Anolis sagrei: one gene and its partners. The protein of the gene in region 2 interacts with the protein of the main gene of each other region in a pairwise test. Links are inferred from orthologs where the notes say so. Each region holds a gene or a part of one and is shown on either strand. Other genes may lie near its edges. The genes, in order: lipopolysaccharide-induced tumor necrosis factor-alpha factor-like, STAM2, ENTREP1 and PLEKHB2.

Region 1 (7,559 bases), on a different chromosome or scaffold from region 2:
ACAAATCTGCCTGGTTGAATCCCAAGTCAAAACATAGCAATTGCAAAACAGGAGGCAGCTTGGAACACATACCACATTGTCTACCGATTCTCATTGTTTTGGACAAAATCCAAATAACTGACAGTCCACAACTAATGGTAGACTGCAATAAGGAAAAGGAGGAAAGAGGAGAACAGGAGGAAGAAGAAGAAAAAAGGGGAGGAAGAAATATATATATTCTGGTTTTGCATTGGTTCCAGTTTGTAGGATGGTTAGCCACTTTTGAGTCCTGTGATTGGGAGAAATGCATAAAACAACTCAGTAATAAAAACAATGCTAATAGGGCAGTAAAAGATATTACTTTATTCATTGTATATCGACTTGCAGTTTCTCAGGTTGCTCCTGACTTGAGAAACTTAAAAGTCGATATACAATGAATATAAATATAGAATTGTATATCCCACCCTCCTCCTTTTCAGCATCAACTGAGTCTACAAGGTGAGACCAACTAGCTTTCTATAAATTAAGAAAATAGTAAGATATTATACTGCCTTAATCACATTGGTTTCACTGCATGATGACGATATTAATTTGTATCCCACCTATACACACCATGAATCCACTTGTACCTTGGACCAAGTCAGAGACACAAAAACAACCCTGACAGCCTCTGTACATGCTTTTCCTAAGCTCCGTATTTTGCCTTTGTTTTGCAATGGCTCCCCAAAGGAGACAAACAAGGCCTCAATGTGCAAGTGTGGTTAAAGGTGTGATGTCATGGCCCCCACGTGTTGGTGATATCAGCCTTTAATGAGAGAAATACCTTCCTCTAATTACGGGCCTCGATTCTGAGCAGCCTTTCTAAAGGCTTGCTCATCCAGCCTGATTTGCCTCCACTTGGTGCTCCAACCCATGCAAATTGGCCCCATTCATGCATTCCTGATGAAAGAATGTGGAGGTAGGTGGCAATTGACCACTCCTTGGGCCGCTATAAACGTCCACATTTTTTCTAAATGATGCGGTTTATTCATGTGCCATTCCCTTGCTAGAGAGCATTTGCCCCACAATGACAGCTATTTGGCAGCCAAAGGACAGCTTCCAAGTGATGTGTTTCCCATTTGGTTTCACTTCGAGTCTCCTTGTTTTGGGGGATACAAAGTCCCATCATCCACAGCCATGCCTGCCTTGGGAAGATGGGCTACATGACTCCAATGCCTGAGTCCTTAATATCATGGATCCAGAAATTAAATTAATTACTTCCTATTGACCAGATGGGTTGGTTCTAGTTTTGGACCTACAAATTGGATTCGGAACAGGGTGACTACAAATCCCAGAATCCCCCATCCAGTATGGCCAAAATGGGGTTCTGGGAGTTATAGTCCAACCCATCCATATGCTCAAAAACAACTGGAAGCTAGTTTCTCCATCCGATCCCATAATGTCTGTTTGGTCCTCTGTCTTTTTTTATCTGTTTCGGAATAGTTTTAAGCTTGGAAAATGCATGAAAGTTGGGATGATGCAACAAGCAAAGCTACTGTTAGGTGGATTGGGAACTAGTTCACCCGCTATTTCTATCCAATGGCTTCCCCCTTCTTCCTGGAGAGAAGTGACTTTTGGGGTCTTGTCTTGGGCCTTTAAGGGCTATTCAGAAGCTTTATCAGTGGCTTGGATGACAGACTAGAAGGCAGGCTGATCCAAATTTGGGAGGGACAGCAAATACCTAGAGCAGGGGTCCTCAAACTAAGGCCCAGGGGCCGGATACGGCCCTCCAAGGTCATTCACCCAGCCCTCGCTCAGGGTCAACCTAAGTCTGAAATGACTTAAAAGCACACAACAATAACAACAATCCTATCTGATCAGCCAAAAACAGGCCCACACTTCCCATTGAAATACTAATAAGTTTATATTTGTTAACATAGTTCTTCATTTTGATTATTGTATTGTTTTTAAGTGGGGGTTTTTTTTGCACTACAAATAACATGTGCAGTGGGCATAGGAATTCATTCATGTTTTTTTTCAAATTATAATCTGGCCCTCCAACAGTTTAAGAGACTGTGACCTGGCCCTCTGTTTAAAAAGTTTGTGGACCCCTGACCTAGAGGATGGGACCAGGATCCAAAATGACCTCAACAGATTAGAGAGCTGATTGTCCAGAACTAACAAAACGGAATTTCAGTAGGCAATAACAATGAAGTGTACAGATAGAGGAGTTAAAGGGATTGAGGAGTAATAGTAATAATAATAATACCACCACCTGTCAGCTGCAAAAGGCCCCCTTCTTGGATCTGCACGCATTATTAACCAATACATCACACAGTCCTAGAAACTTGTGGTGTCCGACGTGTGATCCAATACAAAAGCCAGCATAGTGATCTTGTTTGCTGTGTACTAGTCTTTTTGTGTATCTAATAATAGTAGTAGTAGTAGTAGTAGTAGTAATAATAATGATAATAATAATAATAATAATAATAATACAAGAGTGTGATGTGGCAGCTAACAAGGCCAATGTGATCCTAGACTACTTCAATAGGAGTCTAGCGTTTAAACAGAGGGAAGTTATATTGACCATGGATTGACTATATCTAAGTCTGAGAAAATGATCTAGAGTCTTAGCAGACTGGAAACTGAATGAGAGACTACAGTGTGATGCAGCAGCAAAATAGGCCAATACGATCCTAGGCTGCAACAATAGGAGTCTAGTGTCTAAATTGATAGAAGTAATCTTGGCTATGTCTTGATAATAGTTATGTTTGTGATGTATGCTAACAAGGCCAATGTGATCCTAAACTGCATCAATGGCGGTGTAGAGTCCCACTCTTTTCTGCCTTGGTTGGATCTCACCTGGAATAATAACCCTGTATCCAGTTCTGAGCAAAGCAATTCAAGAAAGAGATGGACAAGCGGGAAGGAGGACCAAAATGGCCAAGGCTTATGAGGAACAGCTTAAATTGCTGAGGATGTTTAGCTTGGAGAAGGCGGATAGAAGAATATGAGAGTCATGTTGAAATATTTGGAAGGATGCCCTGTTGAGGAAGGGGCAAGGCTTGTTTTCTGCTGCTCCAGAGACTGGGACACAACAGAGTATTGGATTCAAATTGCAGAAAAAGGGATTCCATCTGAACATTAGGAAGAAATGATTTCCCTACCTGTGTGGACCAGGATCAGATAGAACTGGTACCTCTTTCCCGGAGTCTCTGTTCACTTCATCGGCCTCTTGGCTCCTCTGATGTCCAAGGAAGGGTCATGATCTATTCCTAAGATCTTGCTGACTTGGAGCCCAGGTCCGGAGTGAGGGTTTATCCCATCTCAAAGGGGCAGGAAGAGATAGGAGTTTGGCCGGAAGGGAGGAGAAATGGAGCAGCTGTGTAATTACCCTCCGGTTAGCCAAGCACTCCATCCTCTTTCCAAACGCAAACATCCCAAAGAGGAATGCCGGGGAACGGGTTGGATGAGACAGGGCTCATTTGGTTGGGTGTCCATTCAAGATAGCACCTCTCAACAGGAGCACCTTTGTTTTGGAGAGTTTTGCGGCACTGATCCAAGGCCAGCTAAATTGTGTTTTCTATGGCTTTGACTGCATCTGAAGCAGGCCAGGACTTTGGCAATGTTTGCAGTGATCCGAAGCAATGGTTGCAATGATATATGATTGCAGTGGCTTCACCTGATTGTATCCGAAACAATGGTTGTAAGGGTACATCGTTGCAAGGATGCACGTTTGCAGTGGCTTCTCCTGACTGTATCCGAAACAATGGTTGCAAGGATACATTAATGCAGTGGTTCTCAACCTTCCTAATGCCGTGACCCCTTAATGCAGTTCCTCATGTTGTGGTGACCCCCCAACCAAATTTGGCACAATTACCTGATACACCCAAATTTGAATACTGGTGGGGTTGGGGGGGGGGAGTTGGTTTTGTCATTTGGTGTTGTAGGTAAAGGTTTTCCCCTGACATTATGTCCAGTCATGTCTGACTTGGGTGTGGTGCTCATCTCCATTTCTAAGCCAAAGAGCCAGCGTTGTCCGTAGAGACCTCCAAGGTCATGTAGCCAGCATAACTGCAGGGAGCATCGTTACCTTCCCACCAGAGCAGTACCTATTGATCTACTCACATTTGCATGTTTTTGAACTGCTAAGTTGGCAGAAGCTGGGGCTGACAGCGGAAGCTAATGCCACTTCCTGGATTTGAACCTGCGCTCTTTTGATCAACAAGCTCAGCAACTCAGCAGTATCGTTGTTGGGATTTATCGTTAACCTACAATCAAAGAGCATTCTGAACTCCACCAACGATGTAATTGAAACAAACTTGGCACACAGATATCCCTTGACCAACAGAAAATACTGGAAGGGTTTGGTGGACATTGACCTTGAGTTTTGGAGCTGTAGCACTGTGGACTCAAACAATGATGGATCTGGACCAAACCTGGCAAGAATACTCAATCTGCCCAAATGTGAACACTGGTAGATTTTGGGGAAATTAGACCTTGACACTTGGGAGTTGTAGTTGCTAGGATTTATAGTTCACCTACAATCAAAGAGCATTCTGAACTCCATCAACGATGAAATCGAACCAAATGTGGCACACAGAACTCCCATGACCAACAGAAAATACTGGAAAGATTTGGCAGGCATGGACCTTGAGTTTTGGAATTGTAGTTCACCTACCTCCAAAAGCACTGTGGACTCAAACAATGATGGATCTGGACCAAACTTGACACGAATACTCAATATGCCCAAATGTGAACACTGGTGGAGTTTGGGGAACATTGACTTGACATTTGGAAGTTGCATTTGCTGGGATTTATAGTTCACCTACAATCAAAGTACACTCTGAATCCAGCCCACAATCAAGGGAGGGCTCGTGTGAAGGAGCCCCCGGCTGCCTCGCGGCCTCGCCATTTGGTGAAGCCGCGAGGGAGCTGAGGCAGCCTCCACACAAGCCCTCCCTGGACTCCCCCACGGGCGCCAAGGAGCCCAGAGAGGGCTCGTGCAAAGGAGCCCCCGGCTGCCTCGCGGCCTCGCCATTTGGCGAAGCTGCGAGGGAGCCGAGGCAGCCTCTGCACAAGCCCTCCCTGGGCTCCTTGGCGGCCTCGCCATTTGGCGAGCCCGCTGGGGAGCCCAGGGAGGGCTCGTGCAAAGGAGCCCCCGGCCGCCTCGCGGCCTCGCCATTTGGCGAGGACGCCAAGGAGCCCAGGGAGGACTCGCAGCCTTGTGGGCGGGGCCGAAGGAGGCGGCCTCGCGACCCCTCCGAAATGGCCAAACGACCCCCTGGGGAGTCGCGACCCCCAGGTTGAGAACCGCTGCATTAATGCATTGGCTTCGCCTGACTGCATCCAAAACAATGGTTGTAAGGATACATCATTGCAAGGATGCATGTTTGCAGTGGCTTCTCCTGACTGCAATCAAAGCAGTGGTTGTAAGGATACAGAATACCAGGCTCTCCTGACTGCATCCAAAGCAGTGGTTGCAATGATACATAATGCAGTGCTTCTTCTGACTGCCTAAAAAACAATGCTTGCAATGTTACATAATGCAGCGTTTCTTCTGACTGCATATGAAGCAGTGCTTGCAATGATACAGAATGCAGTGCTTTTCCTGATTGCATTCAAAGCAGGCCAAGACTGAAAATGCAGTGGCAATGGTTACATTCTCCTTGTAGTTAAGCTGGGCCTGTTTTGTCTGAGAAATAAATTGCTTACCTTCCAAGTTCTGGTCCAATTCAGTTTCCGTACTCAATGCATTCATTATAACACTTTGTCAAAGGCCAATAATATCAGGAATTTGAAATAACAGGGTTCGAATCCCTGCTCAACCATGGAAATCCTTTGGGTGGCATGGGGACAGCCACACCCTCTCAGCCTCAGAGGGAGACCCCTTTCTGAATTGATCCAGATAAGGAACCCCTATTATCCTCAGTTCTTGTGGGTTTTTTCGGGCTATATGGCCATGTTCTAGAGGCATTTCTCCTGACGTTTCGCCTGCATCTATGGCAAGCATCCTCAGAGGTGAGGTCTGCTGGGACTGGGAAAAAGGGGGTTTATATATCTGTGGAATGACCAGGGTGAGACAAAGGGCTTTTGTAAGTTGGGCTGGGTGTGAATCTTTCAGCTGACCACCTTGATTAGCATACAATGGGCTGACTGTGCCTGGAGCAAAACTCTTCTTGAAAGGTGATTAGATGTCCCTGCCTGTTTTTCTCTCTGCTGTTTTTGCTGTTGCAATTTTAGAATTTTTTAATACTGGTAGTGTGTTCATTTTCATGGTTTCTTCCTTTCTGTTGAAATTGTCCACATGTTTGTGGATTTCAATGGCTTCTCTGTGTAGTCTGACATGGTGGTTGTGAGAGTGGTCCAGCCCCTATTATTTTGGAGAGCTGGAATGGCTCAGTGGTTTGTGTGAATTAGGCCTCTAGGAGACACAAGTTCAAATCCTCACTTGGCTATTGAAACTCCACAGGTTACACTCTCTCAGCCTCCAGCATTCTTTCTATTAGGATTTCCAAAAAACGAATGCCTTGAATTTGGGCAAGTTGCACCTTCTCAGCATCATAATAAAATCTTGGCAACCTTCTTGGATAGAAATCTACGCAGCCCTCTCTCCGGACTCCCCCAGAACACAAAGAAATGCATACAAGGCTAGATTGCATCTTATAATCAATACCCATTTTATCGTATGATAAAAGGACTTTTGGACCCTTCCAGTTTGCTGATAAGTGTATATGTCTCCAACTTACAGTGTCCCTACAGCAAACATGTCACTGGTTTTTCTTGGCAAGATTTATACAAAGGAGGTTTGCCCTTTGCCTTCCTCTGAGGCTGAGAGAGTATGGCTTGGGCCCAGTGGGTTTCTATGTGAGGATGCGAACCCAGATCTCAGAAAATAGTCCTCCAGTGCTCAAATTGCTTGCTTATACCAAGTTGTTCATGAAAAGCAGCACCCCTTCAACTTCCTGCCAGCAAAGGTGCCGCAGTGTTTTGAATGTTAGATTAAAGCTCTGGAGTCCAGGGTTTGAATCCTCCCTTTTGGCCATGAAGCCTAATGAGTGCCCTTGGGCAGGGTGCACGGTCTCAGCCCCAGATAACCTTGCAATGATAGCCTTGCCTTTGAGCCCTCCACAAAGCAACAAACTGCTCCCTCTCTGCTTCCGTCTCTCGAAGCATCCAAGGCAAACTCTATATAAAACTTTTTTCCCCAACACGCCCTAAATCTGGCCCTGATCCGGCAGGTGGGTGGGATCGCCAGTTTATTACAGGTGTGAAATGCTGAATGCCCTGTTTATTACTAGGAGGTTTGTATTAAAACTCAGTCACACCTGTTGCCTTTCCGCCCGGACCTCATTTGACATGTTCCACATCTTTATCTGTGACTCGGACAATGGGAGAGAAGGCGCGTCGCTCCCACGTGCAGATAGGACGCAATGGGGGAGGGATAACCCATATGGTTTGGATCAGGATCCACAGTGATCCTTGTAACAGATTAGAGAGCTAATTGGCTCTAAATAAGGGAATGGATTTCAACAGGGAGAAATGCAAGGTGGAAATAAACAAAATGCACAGATATAAGATGTGGAGTGCCTGGCTTCAAA
Region 2 (8,099 bases):
AATTCAAGGACTTGGTGTGTGCCAACATAGCCTTAAATCACTCAGAGTGAAAATACTTGAAAGTACATAACCTGTCACATGCCGCAGGTGAGCAAAGGAAGTGGCAGAGATTACAATACTTATAAGGCCATTTCTGCAAGGAGGAAAAATCCTATTCTGCTTGGTTTTTAATGTAATAATGTCATAGTGGAAAGTTCAGGTCAGCTTTGGACTGACAAAGGCATAACACTTCTTTTATACATGTGTATCATACAGTGAATGCAAGACCAGCATAAGACGCTTACTTTGAAGTATAGTTCTGCTTTGTGGTTGCTTGAGTACACAAGAGATAACAGTCCAGCTGACAAACAACCAGAGCAGGAGTCAGGCTAAAAACCTGACTCACCCTTGAATTACTCTTGGGCAAATCATTAGCTCTCAGGTTCAGTTCTACATTTGACAGCTGAGAAAGAACTGCCCTTGGGTAGCTCCCAGCCAGCAGAACATTTCACAAAGATAGTAGAAATTCTAGAGATGAAGAGACCCATTTCCATGTTGCGCATGGGAAACGGGCCAAATATTTATAAGTTGGAAGAAACAACATGAAATAGTTGTGACCCAGTTTCAGGAATATAGAGTACAGTATTTCCGGAACAATAATCTCTTAATCAGAAAGTCATTTCCTCCCAAACCGCCAACCAAAACACAACAACCCAAACCCATGCCAATAGAAACAACTCTGTGCTATGGTAATATGGTCTGCATTCTGGGAATATGGTCTGAAATGATACACAGCCACAACCCCAAGAAAATGAGTGACCTCCTTTTTGGCCAGTGCAAAATATCTGAATGGAGGTGGGGATTATAATTACTTATATCCTGCTTTTATCGCGATTGAGACACTTGGGGGCCCATTCACCAGGAAACTCTCTCTTTGCCCCAATGACTCAGGAATTGTGTGGCTGGATATTGGCACAGCATCCCCTGAGTCATGCCAAGGAACCCTGGTTACTACTACTATTACTAATGTCCCACTTTCCCCCCAGATTGGAACTCAAAGCCATACAACAACAATATTTAAAATGTTCAAAATCCACAAACCACAACAGTTAAAACAGTTAAAACGATTAAAGTTAAAACTTAAAACATTCATCATTAAAACACATACAAACCACTGGTCATATCTAGTGTAAGAGGGACCTTACAAGTGGTGCTTCTGAAATGTAGAATTAATGCAGTTTGACAGCACTTTGGCTCCTTCCACACAGCTGAATAAAATCCCACATTATCTGACAGCGTGGACTCAGGGCCCTTCCATATGATTCCAGGTTTTCTGTTTATCCCAGACAGTGTGAACTCATATAATCCAGTTTGAAGCAGAAAATGGGATTCTGGGATATAGGGCCTGTCTGGAAGGGCCCTCAGATATTCCAGTTCAAAGCAAATATTGTGGGTTATTCTGCCTTAATATTCTGGATGATATGGCCTATGGTCCCTTCCACACAGCTGTATAAAATCTCACATTATCTGCTTTGAACTGGGTTATATGGCTGTGTAGAAGGGTCTTTAGGCTTCTGTAGTGTGATCCTATGGAATCAAGGAATCTGTGGCCTAATGAGGCACTTACACCTTTTAGCAGATGAAGCCTTGTAAAACCACAACTCCTATGATCCTCCAGCACAGAGACTCCTTCTATACTACCATATAAAATCCAGGTTATCTGCTTTGAACTGGATGTAAACTGAGATAATCCGGTTCAAAGCAGATAATGTGGATTGTCTGCTTTGATAATCTGGATTATATGGCAGTGTAGAAGGGTCCTGAGTCATGGCAGTTAAAAGTGGTATTGCTGTGCATTAATCTTACAATGTAGATGCGCCAGGCCCCTTCCACATGGCTGAATAAAATCCCAGGGCCCTTCCACACAGCTATATAACCCAGAATATCAAGTCAGAAAACCCCACAATATCTGCTTTGAGCTGGGATATATGGCAGTGTGGAGTCAGGTAACCCAGTTCTAAGCTGTTATTGTGGGGGTTTTGGCTCACAACAGTCTAGTCACTGTGGGATTAGAGAAGTCTTTGCTCTCCTGACACTTCATCTTCCCTTTGCCCTTTGCCCCAAAGAGGACCAGCCTTTGTGTTTGAGGTGCCTTCAAATCACCTGCCAGATGAATGGCCTCAAGGACTCCTTAGGTCCCTTCTACCTAATAAAATCCCACATTATCTGCTTTGAACTGGATTAGATAACCCACCTCAAAGCAGATATTGTGGTGTTTTCGGCCTTGATATTCTGGGACATAGGACTGTGTGGAAGGGCCCTGAGTCCACACGCAGATATTGTGGGATATAGGGCTGTGTGGAAGGGCCCCTTGAGTCACTGTCGGCATAGAGAAGTCTTTGCTAGGCTGACACTTTGTCTTCCCTTTGCCCCAAAGCCTTTTTGTGTGAAGTGCCTTCAAGTCACCTGCCAGCCGAGTGGCCCCAAGAACTCCATAGGAGCTTCTTAGGCCCCTTCTACACAGCTGAATAAAATCCCACATTATTTGCTTTGAATTGGATTTGATAATCTAGCTCAAAGCTGATATTCTGGGACATAGGACTGTGTGGAAGGGCCCTTGGTTATCCAAGTCCACACTCAGATATGGTGGGGTTTTCTGCCTTGATATTCTGGGACATAGGGCTGTGTGGAAGGGCCTTGAGTTCACACTCTGATGTTGTGGGATATTCTGGGGTATAGGGCTGTGTGGATGGGCCCCTTGAGTCACTGTCGGCATAGAGAAGTCTTTGCTAGCCTGACACTTTGTCTTCCCTTCGCCCCAAAGGGGACCAGCCTTTGAATTGGATTAGATATCTGCTTTGAATTGGATTAGATAACCTAGTTTAAAGCAGGTATTGTGAGATTTTCTGCCTTGATATTCTGGGATATAGGGCTGTGTGGAAGGGCCTTGAGTCCACACTCTGATATTCTGGGATATAGGGCTGTGTGGAAGGGCCCTTAAACAAGAAGGGGCCTTGGCAGTTCCTTCCCTTGAAAGAGACCTGGCAGTGGCCTCCCTCCCAAGTGCTAACCAGGCCAGGCCCTGCTTGGCTTTCTTCCCTGGGGCCCTTCCGTGGCCCTCGACTCACCCACATCCTGCTCGAAGGGGTTGGGGGCGAAGAGCGGCATGGCGGCGGCAGAGGGAAGGGGAGGCGAAGAGACCCGGCTGAAGGAAGGGAGGAAGGAAGGAGCGACTAGAGACGCAGCCCACCAGCCCCTGCTCCTCCACTCAGCCCCGCCCCTCTCCTCTCCTCTCCCCAACTTCCTCTTCCGCCCTCCGCGAAGGACCCGCCCTCTCGCTTCATTGCCGTCCAGCGCGCGCCTGAGGAGACGCGAAGGTCGGAGGAGGAGGAGGAGGAATACGGCTTGAACATCGCGTCCCCCCTTTTACGTTTCCCTCGACACTAAGGGAAAATGTCGGCTAAGGAGGCAGGCAATACAATAGACACCTAGCACCGGGGTCCTAGGAAGGAGAGGCGCATAGAGATAGAAGAGTGGAGAAGAACACTTAATTGATTGGCGTTCTGCGGAGACAGGCAATACATAGACACCTGGCTTCAGGGTCCTAAGAAATAGAGGCGTGTAGACATAAACATTGTTGAGAGCGCTTCACTATTTGCCTGGAAGTTAAAAGAGTAGCAAGGCAGCTGACTGCATTTGCAATCCATTGGTAATATAGGGCTCTTCCACACAGCCCTATAACCCAGGATATCAAGGCAGAAAATCCCGCAGTATCTGCTTTGAACTGGGATATATGGCAGTACACTGCCATATATCCCAGTTCAAAGCAGATACTGTGGGATTTTCTGCCTTGATATCCTGGGTTATAGGGCTGTGTGGAAGGGACCATAGTAAGGCCTGCTGTTTTAAGCAGTCAAGGCATTCAAGTTCCAGTGAGGAGAAGGGGAGGGGAGTTCAGAACAAGATGACACTTTGGGGGTTGTGCAAATCTATACTATTTGCCAGCACTTGTAACTGTCGTGGCTCAGTGCCATACAATCATGGGAGTTGTAGTTTTACAAGGTCTTTAACCTCCTCTGCCCAAAAGTGTTGGTGCATCAGCAAACTACAAAAATGAGACTTTGGGGCTGTGCAAATCTGTACTGTAGATGAATGCAGTTTGCCAACACTTTAACTGCCATGGCTCAGTGCTATAGAATCATGGGAGTTGTAGTTTGACAAGGTCTTTAACCTCTGCCAAACTACAAATTCTAAAATTCCATAGCATTGAGCCATGGCAGTTCAAGTGATGTTGAACTGCATTCATTCTCCAGTCTAGATGCACTTTAAGCAAATCCAATAGAATTCAGAATAAGTTTTTCTTTTATGCTGGGGTCTCTAACAGCCATATGGTGGGAAGCTGAAACCTAAATTGATAAGTATGTGTAATAGCTAAGTGGGCCTCCTAGTGGCGCAGCGAGTTAAACCGCTGAGCTCCTAAACTTGTTCACCAAAAGGTCAGAGGTTCGAATCCAAGGAGCAGTGTGAGCTCCCACTGTCAGCCCCAGCTTCTGCCAACCTAGCAATTTGAAAACATGCAAATGTGAGTAGATCAATAGGTACCGCTTATGTGGGAAGGTAACAGCGCTCCATGCAGTCATGCTGCCCACATGACCTTGGAAGTGTCTTTGGACAACGCTGGCTCTTCGGCTTAGAAATGAAGATGAGCACCACCCCCCAAGGTCGGACACGACTAGACGTAATGTCAGGGGAAACCTTTACCTTTACTTTCTAATATATAAGTAAGAATAATTGCCCCCCCCCCCCAAGAATATACCGACTGTAGGATTGTTTCCCATGCAATTACCCTATTGTGATTCTGCCCTTTCAGTCCACATACCTCTAACTTTGGAGATGGTGAAAACCGGGATATATTGCGGTCATACAACATTTTAATAAAATCAAGATGCCTTTCTACGCAGCCCTACATCCCAGAATATCAAGGCAGAAAATCCCACAATATCTGCTTTGAACTGGGTTATCTGAGTCCACACTCAGATAAAGCGGAATTTTCTACCTTGATATTCTGGGATGTAGGGCTGTGTGGAAGGGCCTCAGGACATTTTAAAAGCAGTTGAAGAAGTCAAGACAATGGGACTAATCAGGACTGTCTTCCCAAGTCAGGCAGTTAGAGATTATTTATTTATTTCGCATATTTGTATCCCGTTGTTCTCATCCCCCGGAGGGGGACTCAAAGCGGCTTCACAAGAGGCATTCATTCAATGCAAACAACAGTAATAAATGATAAAAGCAATTAAAACAATTCATTACTGCTTTAAAATTACTAAAACATTGTTTAAATCACACAGGTTTGAAATCATAGTCCAGGTCTGTCCATTGTCATTCACACAAACTGGGTCTCATTCTAAATTTCTGCCTCTACTGTTCGAACGCTTGGTCCCATAGCCAAGTTTTGAGTTTCATTCTAAAGGACAAGAGGGAGAGGGCCAATCTAATGTCACTGGGTAGAGAGTTCCACAGGCAAGGGGCCACCACTGAGAAGGCCCTGTCTCTCGTGTCCACCAGTCACGTTTCCAAGGATGGTGGAACCGAGAGCAGGGCCTCTCCTGTTGATCTTAGACTTCACAGTGGTTCATAACAGGAGGATACGTTCAAATAGGTAAGCTGAGCCAGAACCTTTCAAGGCTTTATAGGCTAAAGCCCACACTTGGAATTGTGCTTGGTAGCAGATTGGCAACCAGTGGCATAGCAGAGGGGTTGTATGCTGTCTGCATGTCGCTCCAGCGAGCAACCTGGCTGCCATCCATTGGACTAGTTGGAGCTTCCAGTCTTTAAAGGCAACCCCATGTAGATTCTATTGCTGTTTTACACTGAAGAGCTGGAGTGGAGGTCTGAGGTTCTGGAAGAAGGCTTTGACTTGAAAAGTTATTTTGAGGTGTGTGTACACTGCATTAGACTTTTGGAGTTGTGTAAATCTACACTGTAGAACTAATGCAACTGGGTACCACTTTTAACTGCCATGGCTCAATGCTATGGGATCCTGGGAGCTGTCGTTTTACAAGATCTTGAGCCTTCTCTGCCAAAGAGTGCTGGTGCCTCGCCAAGCTATATACCACATAGCATTGAGCCATGGCAGTTACAGTGGTGTCTAACTACATTAAATCTAGATGTACCCTTGGTCTCTTTGCTTAGATACAAGCCTGCATTGAAGGAAGTTTGAAATCTTGATCCCAGATCCAACATTAGATTATTGAAAAACTGAGGAGGCGAGAAAACTTTGCTTAATTATGTAAGAGTTGATCACAACTCACATCAAACATAGAGCATTTTATATTCATGCCATAAACAGAGTGTATGTTGTTCAGGAATCAATCCCAACATTGGTATTTAGCTGCATTGGCAGTGCCAAATGTTGTAAAGAATGTAGAATGGAAATGCAGAGAATTCCACTCAGTGCAGTGCTATAAAAATGCCTTAATCTGACAAATACATTTGCAAACCAGTTGTCCTTGTCTGCTGGTGTGACCAGGTCTGGGTCAGATGACTATTGCATTACAAGAGCAGCTGAAAACACAGCACGTGCAAAATGCAGAAAACATCAAATTCCTGCTCACTTTGGCATATGATGCGAATAGCCATGGCCTTTGTGAGATTATGGCCAGAATCCTTTTGGTGCCTTAACAGTCTGCTATGCTGATGTCAGGCACTTTCTGGAGGGATGTGGCGCAGCAATGGGGGGGATGGCAGGGAAAGCTGTCTCTATTGCCAAGGAAAACTGTCCTACCACTCCCATGAAGTTCAGGAGCCAGCAAAAGAGCAATTTCTTCTGACACATGACTTCTGATGCTATCTCTTCATTCTCACAACCGCTAAAGTCAGTTTTTTTCCTGTTTCCACAGCACACTGTTATCAATGCTTTCAGCAGTGTAGTAGTGCTGGCCAACAGTTTCATGGTCTATGCATTCATATTCATGGCCATCTAGATATCTGACTACTCTTACAGCCAACCGCTTGATGTGATGGTGAAGTTACCAGGTTTTCAGTCTTAAAATGTCTGATGTGTTCTACAGCAGGGCTTCTAAAAACTTCCACTTATGGCCCCTTTTTTTCCTGAGAAATTTTTACACGATCCTGGGTATACAGGGATATGAAATAAGTATAAAAACCAAACATGTGTTTGCAAATCTGTGTTTGCAAGGCTTGCTAAGCAAGCTGATTTTTCTTCTTATGGAGTACAGCTGAAGCATCTTCTGTAGAGCCCACTGTTAATTTATCAGACCTTGCTGCAGAGCTCATCAGTGTTCCTGTTTCCCAAATTTGTATTTGGAAAGCTGACCTATTACCTTTGAACAACTATTTTCAGACATCAAAGAATAAAGCACGGTTTCTGGACTATCTTTTCTGAAGCAAATTGATGTTTACAATGTTATGATGCAGTGTTGATACTGTATAAGCCGACTTCATTGACATAAGTTTGTTCACTTTGTCTCGTCGTCAGAAATTTTAAAGAGACTGGAAATAAAAGAACAAGCAGCAGCCTATAGATTTATGGAAGAAATTGAAGTGATAAGTACATTTGTATAAGAGATATGTACAAGGATCTACAGAAGAATGTATAGAACAATTATACTTTTTGACACACTTTTAAAAAAGATGTTCAGCAATTAGAAAGCTACAGTTAACGCAAGAAGACCTTTCCCTAGGTAATAGGAACCAAAATCCAAATCTGATGTTACTAATCAAATTTAAATAAAAGCCTGGCACCTGACAAATTTTTCACTACCATCAGTTGAAATTCATTTTTAATTTGTGTGGGAAATGTAAAGGCAGGAGAATATATGCAGAAAACCTTCATATTAGCCATAAGACTATTGCTTGTTATCCAGAATCTCCATAAGTTAGGTTTTATGGGAAAGATGGTGCATTTGTAGATGCAGCTGCCAAAGTGTGGCGAGTAATTTTTGCACTATCCAATTTCAGACAGAAAAGTGGTTTAGAATACTATTACTCAGTAGTTGTGTCTTTCACACTAGCTGTTTCCCAAAGTTTCTGGCTTGATACAAAACTTGGTGACATCAACTGCAAACTCACCATACTCTGAAGGAACTGTATCCCTGTAT
Region 3 (8,228 bases), on a different chromosome or scaffold from region 2:
GAAGAGAAGGCTGAGAGGAGATATGATAGCCATGTATAAATATGTGAGAGGAAGCCACAGGGAGGAGGGAGCAAGCTTGTTTTCTGCTTCCTTGGAGACTAGGACGCGGAACAATGGCTTCAAACTACAAGAGAGGAGATTCCATCTGAACATTAGGAAGAACTTCCTGACTGTGAGAGCCGTTCAGCAGTGGAACTCTCTGCCCCGGAGTGTGGTGGAGGCTCCTTCTTTGGAAGCTTTTAAGCAGAGGCTGGATGGCCATTTGTCAGGGGTGATTTGAATGCAATATTCCTGCTTCTTGGCAGGGGGTTGGACTGGATGGCCCATGAGGTCTCTTCCAACTCTTTGATTCTATGATTCTAAGTTACCCTGCCTCCTGAATTCGCACTGCCAACCTTTCAGTCAGTAAGTTCAGCAGCTCAGCGGTTTAATCCGCTGTGCCAATAATATATCTTTGATTTTACATCATGTTCTCAAGAGACGAAAATAAGTAGTCTTTGTTAAAAGTAACATAGTTGGTTTACTTACAAATTTCATATATTCAGCATACAGGTACATTGCTTATCAGTTGAAAGTTTAAACAGCAAGTTCTCTAAGGCATTCTGTTGCAGTTTTTTCTCTGTCTTATGTCTAATGCTTAATGATTAATCAACACTGACTAAACAATACAATACTGATCGAACACTGACTTCTAAAATGGAGTCTCAGTCTGAATAGTCCCAGATCTGATCACATGATCTGCAGCCCCTCCCACAACTTCAAACAATATACATATTGCAATACACACATATACAATATAGTAAGCAATCTGAATGATAAAATAACTAGTATAGGAGGATTGCAGAAGGTTACTATTTCCAATACTGTGTATATGATGCTATGGTACCATAAATTAAAAACAAAACAAATAGGAGTTATTAAATACAAAAACCCCTTTGTGACTTTTTTGGGACATCCTATATATACAGGAGTTCTATGTATACTTTATAATATGATGTTACAATACCAAACACTACTGACAAGATTTAATTTTTCACACGTGGTGCAAATTTATCTCCTATATACCATATATTGCATATAACATTTTAAAAATAGGAGTTACTGGCAATTCCTGAGTTACAAACATCTGACTTACTAACAACTAATAGTTAAGAACGGGGGTGAGATAACAAAAATGAGAAAAATCTACTCCTCGGAAAGGAGATTCACTCCAGAAATGTTATCATGGGGGAAAGGGGTCTCCATTGAAGTTTTATCACCAATCCTTGTTTCAACAACAAGTTACATTTTTAAAAATCCAATGATCACAGGGACAGAAAGAGAGGTGAAATCTTCTGAACAGGGGCTTAAAACAAAACAAAACAAAACACCACGAGGCTGTTAACCCTTCCCTATGCTAGCCAAACTGAGGGACACTAATGAACTGGATAACAAGAGACCACAAGTGGCCGTTGAGCCAACCTTGTAGTTGATGAGACAAACCATTAGTTACACTATTTAGCCAGAAATAGAAAAGAAAAGCACAAAATTGTATATTCTGGCAAATGGAAGATCTGCGTGAAGCCCTAAGGACAAATCAAATAGAATAGAATATGGATATGGATATAGACAGATAGATAGATAGATGTGGATATATATATGTGTGTGTGTGTGTGTGTGGAGTTACAGTTTAAAAATATACCAGTTCTGACTTACATACAAATTCAACTTAAGAACAAATCTACAGAACCTATCTTGTTGAAAAACAACAAATAATAAAGCTATTAAGTATTAAAATCTCTTTGTGACTTCTTTGGTCCACCTTGTGTGTGTGTGTGTATAGATGTGTGTATGTGTATAGGTCCTATGCATGCACTGTATATAAAGTTATAGTAAACTTCTTTAGTCCACCTTGTGACTTCTTTAGTCCACCTTGTGTGTGTGTGTGTGTTTATGTATATAGGTCCTTTGCATACACTGTATATAAAGTTATAGTAAACAAAAACAAAAAACAAATAAAAGAGTTATTAAATACTGAAACCCCTTTGTGACTTTAGTCCACCTTGTATATGTATATAGGTCATATGCACACTGTATATGAAGTTATAGTAAACAAAAAAAACAAATAAATGAGTTATGAAATATTGAAACCTCTTTGTGACTTCTTTAGCCCACCTTATATATGTGTGTATATGTGTATGTAGGTCCTATATACACAACATATATATATATATATATATATATATATATATATATATATATATAGTGTGTGTGTGTATATATATATATATATATATATATATATATATATAAAGTTATAGTAAATGAAAACAACAAACAAAAGGAGTTATCGAAACCCCTTTGTAACTTCTTTGGCCCACCTTGTTTATGTGTGTGTGCATAAATATATGTGTGTATAGATCCTATATATATACTGTATACAAAGTTATGGTAAACAAAAAAAAACAAATAAAGGCGTTATTAACTACTGAAACCGCTTTGTGACTTCTTTGGCCTAACTTGTGTGTGTGCATAAATATATGTATATATAGGTCCTATACATACACTGTATATAAAGTTATAGCTTATTATTATTATTTATAGTAAACAACAAAAAAAGTTATGAAATATTGAAACTGCTTTGTGACTTCTCTGGCCCACCTTGTGTATGTGTGTATGTGTATAGATCCTATGCATACACTGTAAATAAAGTTATGGCTTATTATTATTATTATTATTATTATTATTATAGTAAACAAGAAAAACAAAGGAGTTATGAAATATTGGAACCTCTTTGTGACTTTCTGCCCCACCCTGTATGCATGTATCTTTATGAGAGTATATCTCCATATGCAGCCGGTAGGCTGTTAGGAATTGTGGGAGTTGAAGTCCAAAACACCTGGAGGGAGGGCTGAAGTTTGCCCATGCCTGATCTAGACTGCATATGGAGATATACATACACACAGACTTTGTTCTGATGCGATGGCGCTGTAAATGAGAGCCCGGGGGGCGCAGGCAAGGCGTGGGGGCGCAGGCAGTGCACTCACCGAGGCGCCGGCCCAGAAGGGGCAGGAGTTCTTGACTTGCGGGGAGCTGCTGAGCGAGAGCGCCCCGAAGCTGAGCGCCACCATGCAGCCGCCCAGCATGAGCTGGAGGAGCCCCAGGGAGAGCAGGGGCCGCGCCGGGAGGAGCAGCAGCCCCGAGGAAGAGGGGGCCCCGGGGGCGCAGCGGCGGGCAGGCCTGAGGGGCCGGGCGGAGCGGGGCCCGCGCGGAGGAGCCTCCGCGGAGCAGGAGGGCGCCAGCGCCGACAGCCGGGACACCGGGCAGCAGGAGCCCGGCAGCACCACCGGCAGGGACATGAGGCAGAGCGGGAAGGCCAGCTCGGCTCCACAGGCGGCGGCGGCGGCGGAGGCTGCTTCTGCTGCTGAAGGATTTGCGAGGGAGGCGGAGGGGCAGCTCCGCCTCCTCCTCTGCTTTCTCCTCCTCCTCCTCTTGCAAGCCCCTCGCTGCTCCTCCCGCCCAGTTTTCCCTAGTCAACACAACACACACACACACACATATCTCGGCTGGACACTCAGCCTTCGCCTCGTAGTTGTTTTGTTTCTCGCGAGGCTTTTGTCTCCAAAGCCGCCAACTCCTCCTCCAAAGGTTAAACTCTCCCAACTTTGAAAACTCCTGCTTCTCCTCCTCCTCCTTCCCAGGCCCCATCTACACTCACCCTTTTGGAAGTGGACAGTGGCATGACCTTTCTGCAATACTTCTTGAATTGAACGACTTGATTGATTATTGATTTAGGGCTTTTCTATCCCGTCCTTTCTCAACCTCCGCAGGGGTGACAAAGTGGCACCCCATGACGCCCACATCAAAATATAAATATCCAATTAACAATAATGTAATAATAACAATATAAAACAGTATAAACAATATAAAAACAATATGGAATGTGTCCAGAGGAGGGTGACTAAAATGATCAAGGGTCTGGAGAACAAGCCCTATGAGGAGCAGCTTAAGGAGCTGGGCATGTTTAGCCTGAAGAAGAGAAGGCTGAGAGGAGATATGATAGCCAAGTGAGAGGAAGCCACAGGGAGGAGGGAGCAAGCTTGTTTTCTGCTTCCCTGGAGACTAGGACGCGGAACAATGGCTTCAAACTACAAGAGAGAAGATTCCATCTAAACATGAGGAAGAACTTCCTGACAGTGAGGGCCGTTCAGCAGTGGAACTCTCTGCCCCAGAGTGTGGTGGAGGCTCCTTCTTTGCCTCTTCCCTCCCAACATCCCTGCTGCCTTGTCACTATAAGAGGGTTTCATGAGACAAGTTGCTCTTGTTGCAATGGTGTAGTAACAGTGAGGCCGTGGACCATATTTTAGTTCTCGGGGACCACTGGTGGTCCGCGGACCACAGGTTGGCAACCACTGATCTACACCAATGTGTAGACGTGGCCTCCGTGTTTCAGTCCTATAAGAAGATTTGTGTTTTGCTTAATATCATCTGACAGGATGCGGAACAATGGCTTCAAACTACAAGAGAGGAGATTCCATCTGAACACGAGGAAGAACTTCCTGACTGAGAGCCGTTCAGCAGTGGAACTCTCTGCCCTGGAGTGTGGTGGAGGCTCCTTCTTTGGAAGCTTTTAAACAGAGGCTGGATGGAGGGGTGATTTGAATGCAATATTCCTGCTTCTTGGCAGGGGGTTGGACTGGATGGCCCATGAGGTCTCTTCCAATTCTTTGATTCTATGATTCTATGAATATAAAAACAGACAACAAATAGTCAGTGGTCACTGATTTAAATCATTATCCAAGGGCAGTCCATCAGTTCTAAATAAGTCAACACCTCAGTAGGTCAGCCTATTCTCCAAAGGCCTGATCCTATAGCCAGGACTTTATTTTTCTCCAGAAGGTCAAGAGGGTCAGATCTAATTTCACTCGGGAGGGAGTTCCACAGCCCGGGGGGGGGGGGCACCACTGAAAAGGCCCTGTCCCTTGTCCCCGCCAAACACGATTGTGACAGTGGGGGGACAATGAGCAGGGTCTCCTCAGATGATCTTAGGGCCCTAGGTGGATCGTAGTGGGAGATACGTTCGGACAAGTAAACTCTCTCATCAGCCAAAACTAAATCCACTTGTGCCATCACACCCGGACAATACAAAGTTAAAACTAAGATGTGCTTCTCTCTTTATCCGGGTGAACTGCGAGTGCCTTACTTAGAAGCTCAGAATTCCCAGCAACTGAGGCCAGTCCAGATTTGAAGATCAAACAGAACATTTATTTCTCAAAGTCCTTGACAGACTTGGCACAGCTTGATGAAGTTACAAACACAAACGGTCAACTGGTGAAATTATATAGATGTTCTTTCTTTCTTTTTTCCTTCAGCTGCCGAGTTAACTTTCTCCAAGGGTAGAAAAATCCTGGGATCTTTTACCCTAACCCTGAGCTGCTATCTTTTAGAAAGAGCAGGTCTTCCCCTATCCAAGCCCAAGGTTAGCTTGAGGATGAAGTAATGGAGCCTCTCCCAATGGCAGAGAAATCCTGAAATATTCTCTGCCCCAGCGCTGAGCTGCTATCTTTTAGAAAGAGCAGGTCTTCCCCTATCTGAGCACAGCACCAGTTTCTAAGGCAAGAGGGTAACCGTACTCACGATGGCCTGTCCGAGCTGCCTAGCTTGGCCACCAGCACATCTGAGGCTTTTTCTATACTGAAGAAGGCAGGAGAGCTTCTCCAAAATGGAGATCTTACCCCCAGGAAAAAGGGCAGTCTCTGGACCAAGGAGATACTTTTTTAAGCCAATAGCTGCAAAAGTCTTGCAGGCTTGCTTCCAGCCTCTGTTAATGTTTGACCATTAGGGTGCTGCTAAGACTGTAGCAACCCTGGGGGAAATGTAAAGGGATGCTATTTCAAGCAACTAAAGGGCAATGCAAACCAAGCTCCTGGAAGACGGAACACCACTCTCCCATTGAAATACAGGTACGTTTAAAGGCAAAGGTTTTCCCCTGATATTAAGTCGTCGTGTCCGACTCTGGGGGTTGGTGCTCATCTCCATTTCTAAGCCGAAGAGCCGATGTTGTCTGTAGACACCTTCAAGGTCATGTGACCGGCATGACTGCATGGAGCACAGTTACCTTCCCACCGGAGCGGTACCTATTGATCTACTCACATTTGCATGTTTTCAAACTGTTAGGTTGGCAGAAGCTGGGGCTGAAAGCAGAAGCTCACGTCGCTCCCTGGATTTGAACCTGTGATCTTTTGGTCAACAAGTTTAGCAGCTCAACAGTTTAACCCACTGGGGGTTAAAATTATTCTTCATTTTAGATATTTATTGCTATTTTATGGGTTTTTCTTTTGCACCACAAATAAGATATGTGCAGTGTGTGTAGAATTCATTTTTAACAAGATATGTGCAGTGTGTGTAGAATTAATTCTTTTTTCCTTTTTTTTGTGCAAACTATAGTCCGACCCTTGAACAGTCAAGGGGATCATGAACTGGCCCTCTGCTTCAAAAGTGTGAGGATCCCTGATGTACACTGCCAAGTAAGGCATTATATGGTCAGTGGAGACCCATATAATGCCTTGTTTTCCAGGGTAAATCCATCTTTGGTCACCTTTCAAGGTTTTGTGTATACACAAATACTTGCAGATCCAAATCACATCTGGTCCCAAGCATTTTGGATAACGGAAGTCCAAACTGTGCCAACCAAATCCTCTCCACGTTTTCACTCCCAGCCAGCCGTTGGGAAAACTCTTCAGCATTATTCAAGAGCTGCCAAGTCGCCTCTATTTAGGGGCAAAACATTTCTTTGGAGCCAACGGTCCTCTCTCCCAACATGTAAACCAAAATCCTCTCCAACTGCCAACCCTCTCCTGAACAGAGAAGAGCGGGGGCCTCACTTTTAAAGCAATACCAGCTGAAACATTTGTGTTCCCTGTCACTTATCCCCCGCCTTTTCCCTGTTGCTGTTATCCTGGTGTGAGGCTAAAAGTTTTAAAATAACTCTTCCCGAGAGGCAGGGGAGCGGAGGATGCAGATGCCACCAGGATAATATGTCGCCTTTCTAAGGCCTCAGGAAAGAGGAAATTGGGAGCTTGTTGTCAAAGACTTAATGAATTGGCACCAATTGACCACCATTCTCTAACTGGGGGCTGAAGGCTGGGCAAAGAGTTTAGGCCAGGCATGGGCAAACTTTGGCCCACCAGGTGTTTTGGACTTCAACTCCCACAATTCCTAACAGCCTACTGGCTCTTTGAAATAGTAAGAGTTGAAGTCCAAAACACCTGGTGAGCTGAAGTTTGCCTATGCCTGATTTAGGCTTTCCTGTCTTGCAACCCTCACTTGTTTGGTCACTTTTGAACTTGAGGATTATTGAGACAAGGGGAGCACCTATACACTGTCTTAAAGAGTGATTATTTTAACAACCTTTTACTACTGGAAGTGATTTTAATTGACTTGTGTTAACTCTGTTTTCATATTTGTATGTTGTGGATTTTAAATTTCATACATAACACTGACCAACACACATTTTGGTACCTCCAGTGTTAAAAGTGTTTCTATGTATATGTTTTTATAATGTTTTTATTACGTTTCACCAAAAAAAAACCCCCAAAAAACACATCATCAAAAAGGACAAAGTAAAAGGACACATCTAAAACAGACAAACATAATTCAATTAAATAATAATAAAAACAAAGGCACGATTTAATTGTCTTGTCTAGACATCCTTTCCTTCGAGATAGAGGTTTCTGTGTATATTTGACATGCCGATTCCAAAAGTGACACTAGTTTTCTCCTATTGACTCTTGTTTTTGAGATACAGAACATATACCATATACTAGTCTTCATCTACTCAATCATAAGAAATCATTATAACTATATCAAAGAAACGTAGTGGTCCATCCAATGCAGTTTTCTGAATTACTGCCCCAAATAACCCCAGAAAATGAAAAAAACAACCCCAAAAATCCAGCACGAAGAAGAAAATGTTGTTGAGCTATGTTATTTTAACAGTTTTTAAGTGCATGAAGTTATTGTAATTGATTTATGTTTACAATTCTAATATGTGTATGTTGTGGATTTTAAATTCCATAAATAACACATGTTGCAAGTGAGAAGTTCATGAAGGCGCCTACCACCATATGAGGTGGAACTATAAAAAAAGCCAAAAACTGCTGGCATCAAATTCACAGGATAATCTAATACGTTCTTAAAACAAGAATAAGTTTCAAGCCACAACATATACTGCTGGAGAGTCCTACATG
Region 4 (7,972 bases), on a different chromosome or scaffold from region 2:
CTATTTGGTTTAAAAGGAAAACAATTTACAATCAGAAATTCTAGCTAGGATTATTATTATTATTATTTCTTGGCTCGAGATGGGTTACAAAATAATTAAAATACATAAACACAGCAAAACCACTACATATACACACTGAAATGTACCCCCCAAGTTACACACTCAAACATATCTCTATAAAATACGTACTAAAACACACAAAACAGAGATCAAACAAAGGAAACTTAAAATTCATGTTAAAAGACTATCTGGGTATGCCTGCCAGAAGAGATAGATACTTACATGGTTTCTAAATTCCGTCAGCTCATTTAGCTGTCAGAGTTCTTCTGGCAGGTAGTTCCACAGTCATGGGGCAGCCAATTAAAAGGTCCTCTGGGTAGTAGTTGCTAGTTGGGTTCTGGTTGGTTGGACCAAATGCCCCCAGAAGACCGAAATGTGTTGGGTGGATTGTATGAGAGAAGGTGATCCTTTAGGTAACCTGGACCCAAACTATGTAGAGCTTTAAAGTTCAAAACTAACGCCTCGTACTTTGCCTGGAAATGAAGTGGTAGCCAGTGGGGTGACTTTAGGATAGGTATGCAGGCCCGTAGCCAGGATTTCGTTTCCGGGGAGGCTGAATTTTTTTTCAGGGGGGTTGGGGGGGGGGGCTGAGTCTGAGTGAAAGAGGGTCTAGCCTAGCAAACCTTTTGTATCATTACCCCAATACCCCCATGCATATGGGATATATTGAGTATGGTGATCAGATCATGATATGAATAAACATAACAGTTTAAATAATGCACCAGTAAGGCCTTTTCGCGAACCAACATGAAAATCATGCCTGTAGGTATGATATGCTTATTTCAAGATGTTCCTGTAACCAATCCGGCTATTGTATTTTGGACCAGTTGGAGTTTCCAAACTTGGTACATGAGTAACCCAATGTAAAGTGCATTGCAGAAATCCAGCCTTGAGGTTACCAGTGCATGCACTACTATCTTCAGGTCTTCCAAATCTAGGAAGGGGCGCAGCTGGCATATCCGCCGAAGCTGACAGTAAGCACTCCTGGCCATCGCATTTACCTGGGCTGACATTTGGAGAGACAGATCCAGGAGTACCCCCAAATTGCGATACACAGTCTTTCAGGGGGAGTATAACACCATTCAGAGCTGGCTGACACACCTCTATCCTCAGATGAGGACCCTACCCTTTATAGCAAGCACCTCTGTTTTGTCTGGATTCAGTTTCAATTTGTTTTTCCTCATCAAGCCTATTACCTGATCCAGACATTAATTCAGTGGAGACACACTATCGTTAGCTGAAGCTGTTTTTGAAGGCATGGAGAAATATATTTGGGTGCCATCAACATATTGATAATGCCTTGTCCCATGCTTATGGACGATCACTCCCAGTGGCTTAATGAAGAATTAAAGAGCATTGGGGATAGAATGGCACCTTGGGGGACACCACATAACAGCCCTTTTTTGGAGGAGCAGCTATTCCAAAGCACCACCATCTAGAACCTGCCTGAGAGGTATGACCAGAACTACTGCAGCACAGGGCCTCCAATGCCCAGCCCCTCCAGGTGTTTCAGAAGGATACCATTGTCGATGGTATCGAAGGCTGCTGAGAGGTCTAGAAGCACCAACAGGGACACACTCCCCCTGTTGATGCTGAGACGGAGATCACCCACTAAGGCAACCATCACAGTATCAACTCCGTATCCTGCTCTGAAGATAAGATACAAGGAAAGAGAATTAGAGAATAATAAGGATAAGAATAAATTGCAGCAAGAATTGACTAAATTCCAACAGCAATATGATTTATTACTCACGAATGAGTTAGAACAGAAGATTACATATATTAGACATAAACAAACAAGGAAAACTGTTAGCATGGCAACTAAGAAGGAAGCAGCTAATAGTAAAGGAGTAAAGGAGAAATAATTACATATATGTGACTAATTCAAAAGCAATTTGAAGACTATTATAGAAATCTATATAAAAGCAATTAGATAAAAAGAAGATTGATCTGGATGAAATGAATGTCACTAAGCTCACAGATGAAATGAAAATAGAGCTGGATAAGCAAATTACACAGGAGGAGCTGTTTAAGACTATTGACAATGCCAAAATAAATAAAGCCTCAGATCCAGATGGATTTTCTGCTTGGTATTATAAGTCATACAAGGAAGAACTGGCCCCACTATTTCTTTCTTCAATGAATCAAGTTATGCAGAAAGGAGAAATACCAGATTCATGGGCAGAGGCCACTATATTCCTAAGCAGGATGGAGATATGTAACAAGTTTAAAACTTTAGGCCAACCTTGTTAGTAAATTGTGATATAAACTATTTGCAGAAATTCTAGCAAATACGTTGTGCATAGCATGTTTCCGTCAGATCCAGTGCAGAAGATACAATAACATTGCACCCAGGCAAGAGGAAAAAGAACAGAAACACTTTACTCTTATCAGCAGAGTTAAAACATAAACTTGCAATGTTGCAAACAAAAACAAACAGTGCAACAAACTTACATAGTCCTTGTAAGCAATACAGAATAAGGCTTCTTCATCATCATCCAAATGAGAGAGCAGTAGAAATGGTTGAGTAAAATGCCTGAGCAAAGGCTTCTCAGAGCAAAAACCGAACTGTATTCTAAAACCCATACAGTTATACCCCACTGCGTGTTGACCAAACTTTTAAAAATACTAGAGATGTCAGAGAAAGATCCTAATAGAGATATTGCTCTACTATTTTTGGATGCAGAGAAAGCCTTTGATAATGTCTGCTGGGAATTTATGGGAAAGGTACTATTAGAGCAATATAGAGTTGGTCAGCAATTTAAAAAAGCCAAAGATGTAATTATTCAAAACAGAGAGCTAAATTGTCAATTATTAAACTATATTGAGATACAGAAAGAGACGAGACAAAGTTGTCCCTTGTCACCTTTATTGGTTAGTTGCATGCTAGAAATATTGAACATTAAAATTAGAAAAGAGAGTGGCATCAAATGAGTGAAAATAAAAGGATATGAATTTAAAGTAAAGACATACACGGACGATATGGTATGCATTTTATTTCCAACACATAGGTGCGGGGCAGGAGGGGAAAGATTGGATAGAATATTGCAATATATTAGTTTGGGGAAACATCAGATTTTGTTCATCTTCATGGTTTCCTCCTTTCTGTTGAAATTGTCCACATGCTTGTGGATTTCAATGGCTTCTCTGTGTAGTCTGACATGGTGGTTGTGAGAATGGTCCAGCACTTCTGTGTTCTCAAATAATATGCTGTGTCCAGGTTGGTTCATCAGGTGCTCTGCTATGGCTGATTTCTCTGGTTGGAGTAGTCTGCAGTGCCTTTCATGTTCCTTGATGCGTGCCTGGGCGCTGCGTTTGGTGGTCCCTATGTAGACTTGTCCACAGCTGCATGGTACACGGTAGACTCCTGCAGAGGTGAGAGGATCCCTCTTGTCCTTTGCTGAATGTAGCATTTGTTGGATTTTCTTGGTGGGTCTGTAAGTGGTTTGTATGTTGTGTTTCCTCATCAGTTTCCCTATGCGGTCAGTGGTTCCCTTGATGTATGGCAAGAACACTTTTCCTCTGGGTGGATCTTCATCTTTACTCTCGTGGCTTGTTCTCGGTTTTGCAGCTCTTCTGATGTCTGAGGTGGAGTATCCATTGGCCTGGAGAGCCCAGCTCAGTTCATCTTGGAGGAGGTGGGGTTCGCAGATTCTTTTTGCACGGTCTGCCAAGGCTTTAATTGTGCTTCTTTTTTGACTTGGGTGATGGTTGGAGTTTTTATGTAGATATCTATCTGTGTGTGTGGGTTTTCTGTAAACGGTGTGACCCAATTGTTGATCTGATTTGCGGATGACTAGGACATCTAGAAAAGGCAGTCTTCCTTCCTTTTCTTTTTCCATAGTGAACTGGATGTTTGGGTGGATGCTGTTAAGATGTTCCAGGAACCTGTTGAGTTCTTCTTCTCCATGGCTCCAAATAGTGAAGGTGTCATCCACATATCTGAACCATATAGTGGGCTTTTTGGTTGCTGTTTCAAGGGCTTGTTTTTCAAAGTGTTCCATGTAGAAATTAGCTATGACTGGGCTGAGAGGGCTCCCCATAGCTACTCCTAAATACCAACGACAAACTGATCAGCTTCGATGTGGTATCTCTATTTACCATGGTCCCAGTAGCAGACACCATGGCACTCATCAACCAGAGGTTCCCAGAAGACATCATGGCTCTGTTTCACCATTGCCTCACCACCAGCTACTTTCAGTGGGACAATGAGTTCTATGAACAGAAAGATGGAGTAGCTATGGGGAGCCCTCTCAGCCTGGTCATAGCTAATTTCTACATGGAATTACATATATTAGAAACCAACACTTTCCCATTACTTTATTTTCAAGATCACCAGACTGGGCCTCAGCAACGCGTGCCAGGGAACAGCTAGTTTATTATATTATTAGCCCAGCACAGGAGACAAGGTATTATTGTACCTTATTATTGTATTGCTAATGCTATTATGATTAATAATGGGAACACAATTTTAATAATAGTTGCTCTTAATAATTGACTTGTTTGTTATTTGGCTATTATTTATTGATTATTATGATTCATTGTGAACGATTAGCAATCATTCATAAAACAATAATAATGGCATCAACAACAGTACAGAGATGATGATGATGGCACGTGACCAGTCTGGGGCGGGGGGTGGGGTTGACCGAGGGTGGAGGGGGAGCAGCCTTCCTTCGGGCCGCGAGGATTCCTCCGACCACGTGAGAAGTGACGCGCGTGCTCGGCTCTTTTCGACCCCACCCCCTCGCGGGTGACGTAGCCTCGCTCACGGCCTCGAGAGAAAGGAGGGGGAAATCTGCGCGCGCAGCCGTCGCCTCATCCTTTGCTCCCAACCCGACGGGAGGATGTGACGTCGCCGGGCCGCTAGGTTGCTGCGCAGTTCTCCAGAGCAGGCAGAAGGAAGGAAGGTGTGAGGGAGGCGGCGAGGCTCGTTCTTGTGGTGTTGGTTGTGGCAGCACTCTCCCCTTCTTCTCCTCCTCCTCCTGCCGCGGGCCTTCGAGAGCCAGAGCTCGACAGCCGGGCCAGGGTCGCCGCCCTCGCCGCGACGACGACCAGCCGCAGTTCGGTGAGGGAGACAGGGACCAAAGGAGGGAGGGCCTCTCTCTGTGCTTCAGGACAGGCCAGTCAAGGATGTCAGGCCCAGCCAAGGCCTTGTTTCCCGGTGTCCGCCGTTTGGCGTCCCCCGCCTTCCTCTTTTGGGGGGGGAGAACCCGTTGTATTATTAATAAACTAGCCGTCCCCTGCCACGCGTTGCTGTGGCCCAGTCTGGTGATCTGGAAAATAAAGTAATGAGAAAGTGTTGGTTTCTAATATATGTAATTTTTTTATGCTTGTGTTGATGTAGAGATTGTCTGGTTGGCCTACTCTGGAGCATGCAAATAGCATGTTTGTCCTTCAACAAAACACCTCTCAACAAAAGATTCCCCCAGGCTCAGCCAGGCCTTCAAATGCTAATGAAGGTGGTCAGTTGAAACATTCACACCTAGCTCCAGCAGAGAAGAGCTCTTTGCCCCACCCCAGTCATTCCACAGATATATAAGCCCATTTTCCTAATTCCAACAGACCTCACTACCTCTGAGGATGCTTGCCATAGATGCAGGCGAAACGTCAGGAGAAAATGCCTCTAGAACATGGCCATATAGCCCGAAAAACCCCACAAGAACCTAGTGATTCCAGCCATGAAAGCCTTCGACAATACATTGAGCATTGTCCTTGTTTAGGGGTCCCTTTCAAATCTATGATACTATATCTGTGTTTGTGTGAGTCATATATCTCTATATCTATGACTAGATGGCTCTTGGCCAGGAGGGCTTTGATTATGTTTTCTTGCACTGGAGAAGGGAGTTGGACTGGATGGCCTTAAGAATTTTCTGTTAATCATGGGGGTTCTGTGTGGGAAGTTTGCCCCAATTCTCTCATTGGTGGGGTTCAGAATACTCTTTGATTGTAGGTGAACTATAAATCCCAGCAACTACAACTCCCAAATGAGAAAATCAATTTTTGAGTGATGGTCACTCATTGGGTTGTTAGGCGTCTTCTGTCCAAATTTGGTGTCAATTCATCCAGTGGTTTTTGAGTTATATTAATCCCACAAACAAACATTACATTTTTATTTATATAGATAACGTGTTAACTGAAGTATTTTTCTTAAGGCTACAAGCCTTAAGAATTAATTAATAATTGTTTGTTTATTTCTCAATAAGTAACTATTAACTGAGGTAGGCTTGTCAAGCTCATGTCCCTTGATCCAGGAGTCACAAATGAATATTTCTCTTGTTATTAATAAATTACTGTTAAATTAGTTATACTCATGATTGTTTAATATTAATCAGTTAATACATATAATAAATATACCTCAGTTAAAATTAGATACATTCCTGGGCATTTTTTTTTGTAGCAAAAATATTGTGGGCTCTTGGTATCTTGTTAAATTATTTATATTTACTAATGTCTGTTTATTAATTAGTGAATACATATAATAAATATACCTCAGTTAAAACTAAGTAGATGCATTTCTGGGCCCTTGATATCTTGCTGGGGTTTGTTTCAAGGACTCCTTGTGAATACCAAAAATGTGTGGATGCTCAAGTCCTGTTGTATATAGTGGCATAGTAAAATTGTGTTCTTTATATAAAAACAAAAGTCAAGAGGGGACTGAATTTTTTCAAGCCATAGGTGGTTGAATCCTACCGGATGTTAGGAATTGTGGAAATTGAAGTCCAAAACACCTGGAGGGCCCAAGTTTGCCCATGTCTGGAGTAGACGAACCCTAGGTGACCCTGTTCAGTCTAACGTAGTGTAACTCTTGAAGTGCAGTGCAAGTTAAATCAGGATCCCCGCTTGGTGGACTCTCCTGCCTTTTTAAAGAGCTGCGTGAGAAGCAGAAATTAAGCTGATGAAAGGATTCTGGCTGCAGGGCCACCGGGTATGTCAGTCTAGACACAAGAGGTCCTGATGACAGATAAACCTGAGTTGACCATCATGGAACTACTGGGATGTTTTGTTCTGAATGATGGAGTTACTATTGTTGGTAATTCAATAATTGTAGTGCAGTAATAGGTACGTAATATGTGCAATGACAACTGGAATGGCCTCAGATTACGATTGTGGATGGTGTGGTTTTTAATAGTGAATGTAATGTTTTTAAATGTTTTAATGTTGATTAATTTTAATTTTTAATTTAAATATTCATTTGAATTGTATGTTGTTTTAGTCCTCTTTGTGGTTGAGAAAGGCAGAGTATAAATAAAATACTTTGCTACTGTGGGGAAGATAAAGTTCGTGTATGTATGCTGAGAGAAAGGCATATATAAGTCCAATTAAAAATGCATTTGTTGGACAGCCGTATATTGGATTGCTGCCAAAATATGAGCAGAATATGACGGGAAGGGAAGGTCTTTCTCCGTACTTGTCTTCTGCAACAAACCCTAAAGGTACCAGATCCTTTCAGATCTTGGAAGTGAAGCAAGGTCAGGTCTAGTTAGTATTTGCATGAGGAACCACTAATGTATATCGGAGGCTGTATTTCAGAGGAAGGAAACTGGAAAAAACACTTCTGAGTATCCCCTGCTTAATAAAATCCAGTGAAATGCCTGGGTTTACCATAAGGTGACTTCTAGGCAAATACACAATCAGTAATGGAATGGGGTGGCTTAATGCTAAGAATCATTGCTGGGTGTAAGAAGTTAGCGGTTGGAAAACCCAAGTGAATTGTGATAGTTGGTACTTCTGTGGATGAAATCATCATTCCTTCTCAGGGTAAGTGAAAGAGCAGATTGTTGTTTGCTTTTCGCTGTAAAGTCACTGAGGTGACTAGTTTTACTGCCATGGCTCAATGCTGTGGAAGTTTTGCAATATCTTGTTGCTGTTGAGCTATGGTAGTTAAAGTAGTATCAGCCTGTACCAGTTC

Evidence for each region.
Region 1: the proteins of STAM2 (region 2) and lipopolysaccharide-induced tumor necrosis factor-alpha factor-like interact in a two-hybrid assay, tested with the Homo sapiens proteins (4 studies listed by BioGRID and IntAct). The two-hybrid records come from large-scale screens. The link is inferred for Anolis sagrei from reciprocal best matches to the Homo sapiens genes STAM2 and LITAF.
Region 3: the proteins of STAM2 (region 2) and ENTREP1 interact in a two-hybrid assay, tested with the Homo sapiens proteins (2 studies listed by BioGRID and IntAct). The two-hybrid records come from large-scale screens. The link is inferred for Anolis sagrei from reciprocal best matches to the Homo sapiens genes STAM2 and ENTREP1.
Region 4: the proteins of STAM2 (region 2) and PLEKHB2 interact in binary tests that used the Homo sapiens proteins (3 or more experiments, as listed by UniProt). The two-hybrid records come from large-scale screens. The link is inferred for Anolis sagrei from reciprocal best matches to the Homo sapiens genes STAM2 and PLEKHB2.

The regions. Positions count from the first base shown.
Region 1 is NC_090034.1:20,486,101-20,493,659, forward strand, and holds the start of lipopolysaccharide-induced tumor necrosis factor-alpha factor-like, read right to left. Parts: upstream 3,330-7,559; 5' UTR 3,158-3,329; exon of another isoform or gene 3,126-3,157; intron 1,939-3,125; exon of another isoform or gene 1-1,938.
Region 2 is NC_090021.1:204,402,184-204,410,282, reverse strand, and holds the start of STAM2 (signal transducing adapter molecule 2), read right to left. Parts: upstream 3,283-8,099; 5' UTR 3,148-3,282; coding exon 3,108-3,147; intron 1-3,107.
Region 3 is NC_090022.1:221,871,947-221,880,174, reverse strand, and holds the start of ENTREP1 (endosomal transmembrane epsin interactor 1), read right to left. Parts: upstream 3,507-8,228; 5' UTR 3,339-3,506; coding exon 3,027-3,338; intron 1-3,026. UniProt on the Homo sapiens protein: Functions as an activator of the E3 ubiquitin protein ligase ITCH in the ubiquitination of the CXCL12-activated CXCR4 receptor. Thereby, triggers CXCR4 endocytosis and desensitization, negatively regulating the CXCL12/CXCR4 signaling pathway.
Region 4 is NC_090023.1:219,714,994-219,722,965, forward strand, and holds the start of PLEKHB2 (pleckstrin homology domain-containing family B member 2), read left to right. Parts: upstream 1-4,863; 5' UTR 4,864-5,128; intron 5,129-7,051; exon of another isoform or gene 7,052-7,122; intron 7,123-7,972. UniProt on the Homo sapiens protein: Involved in retrograde transport of recycling endosomes.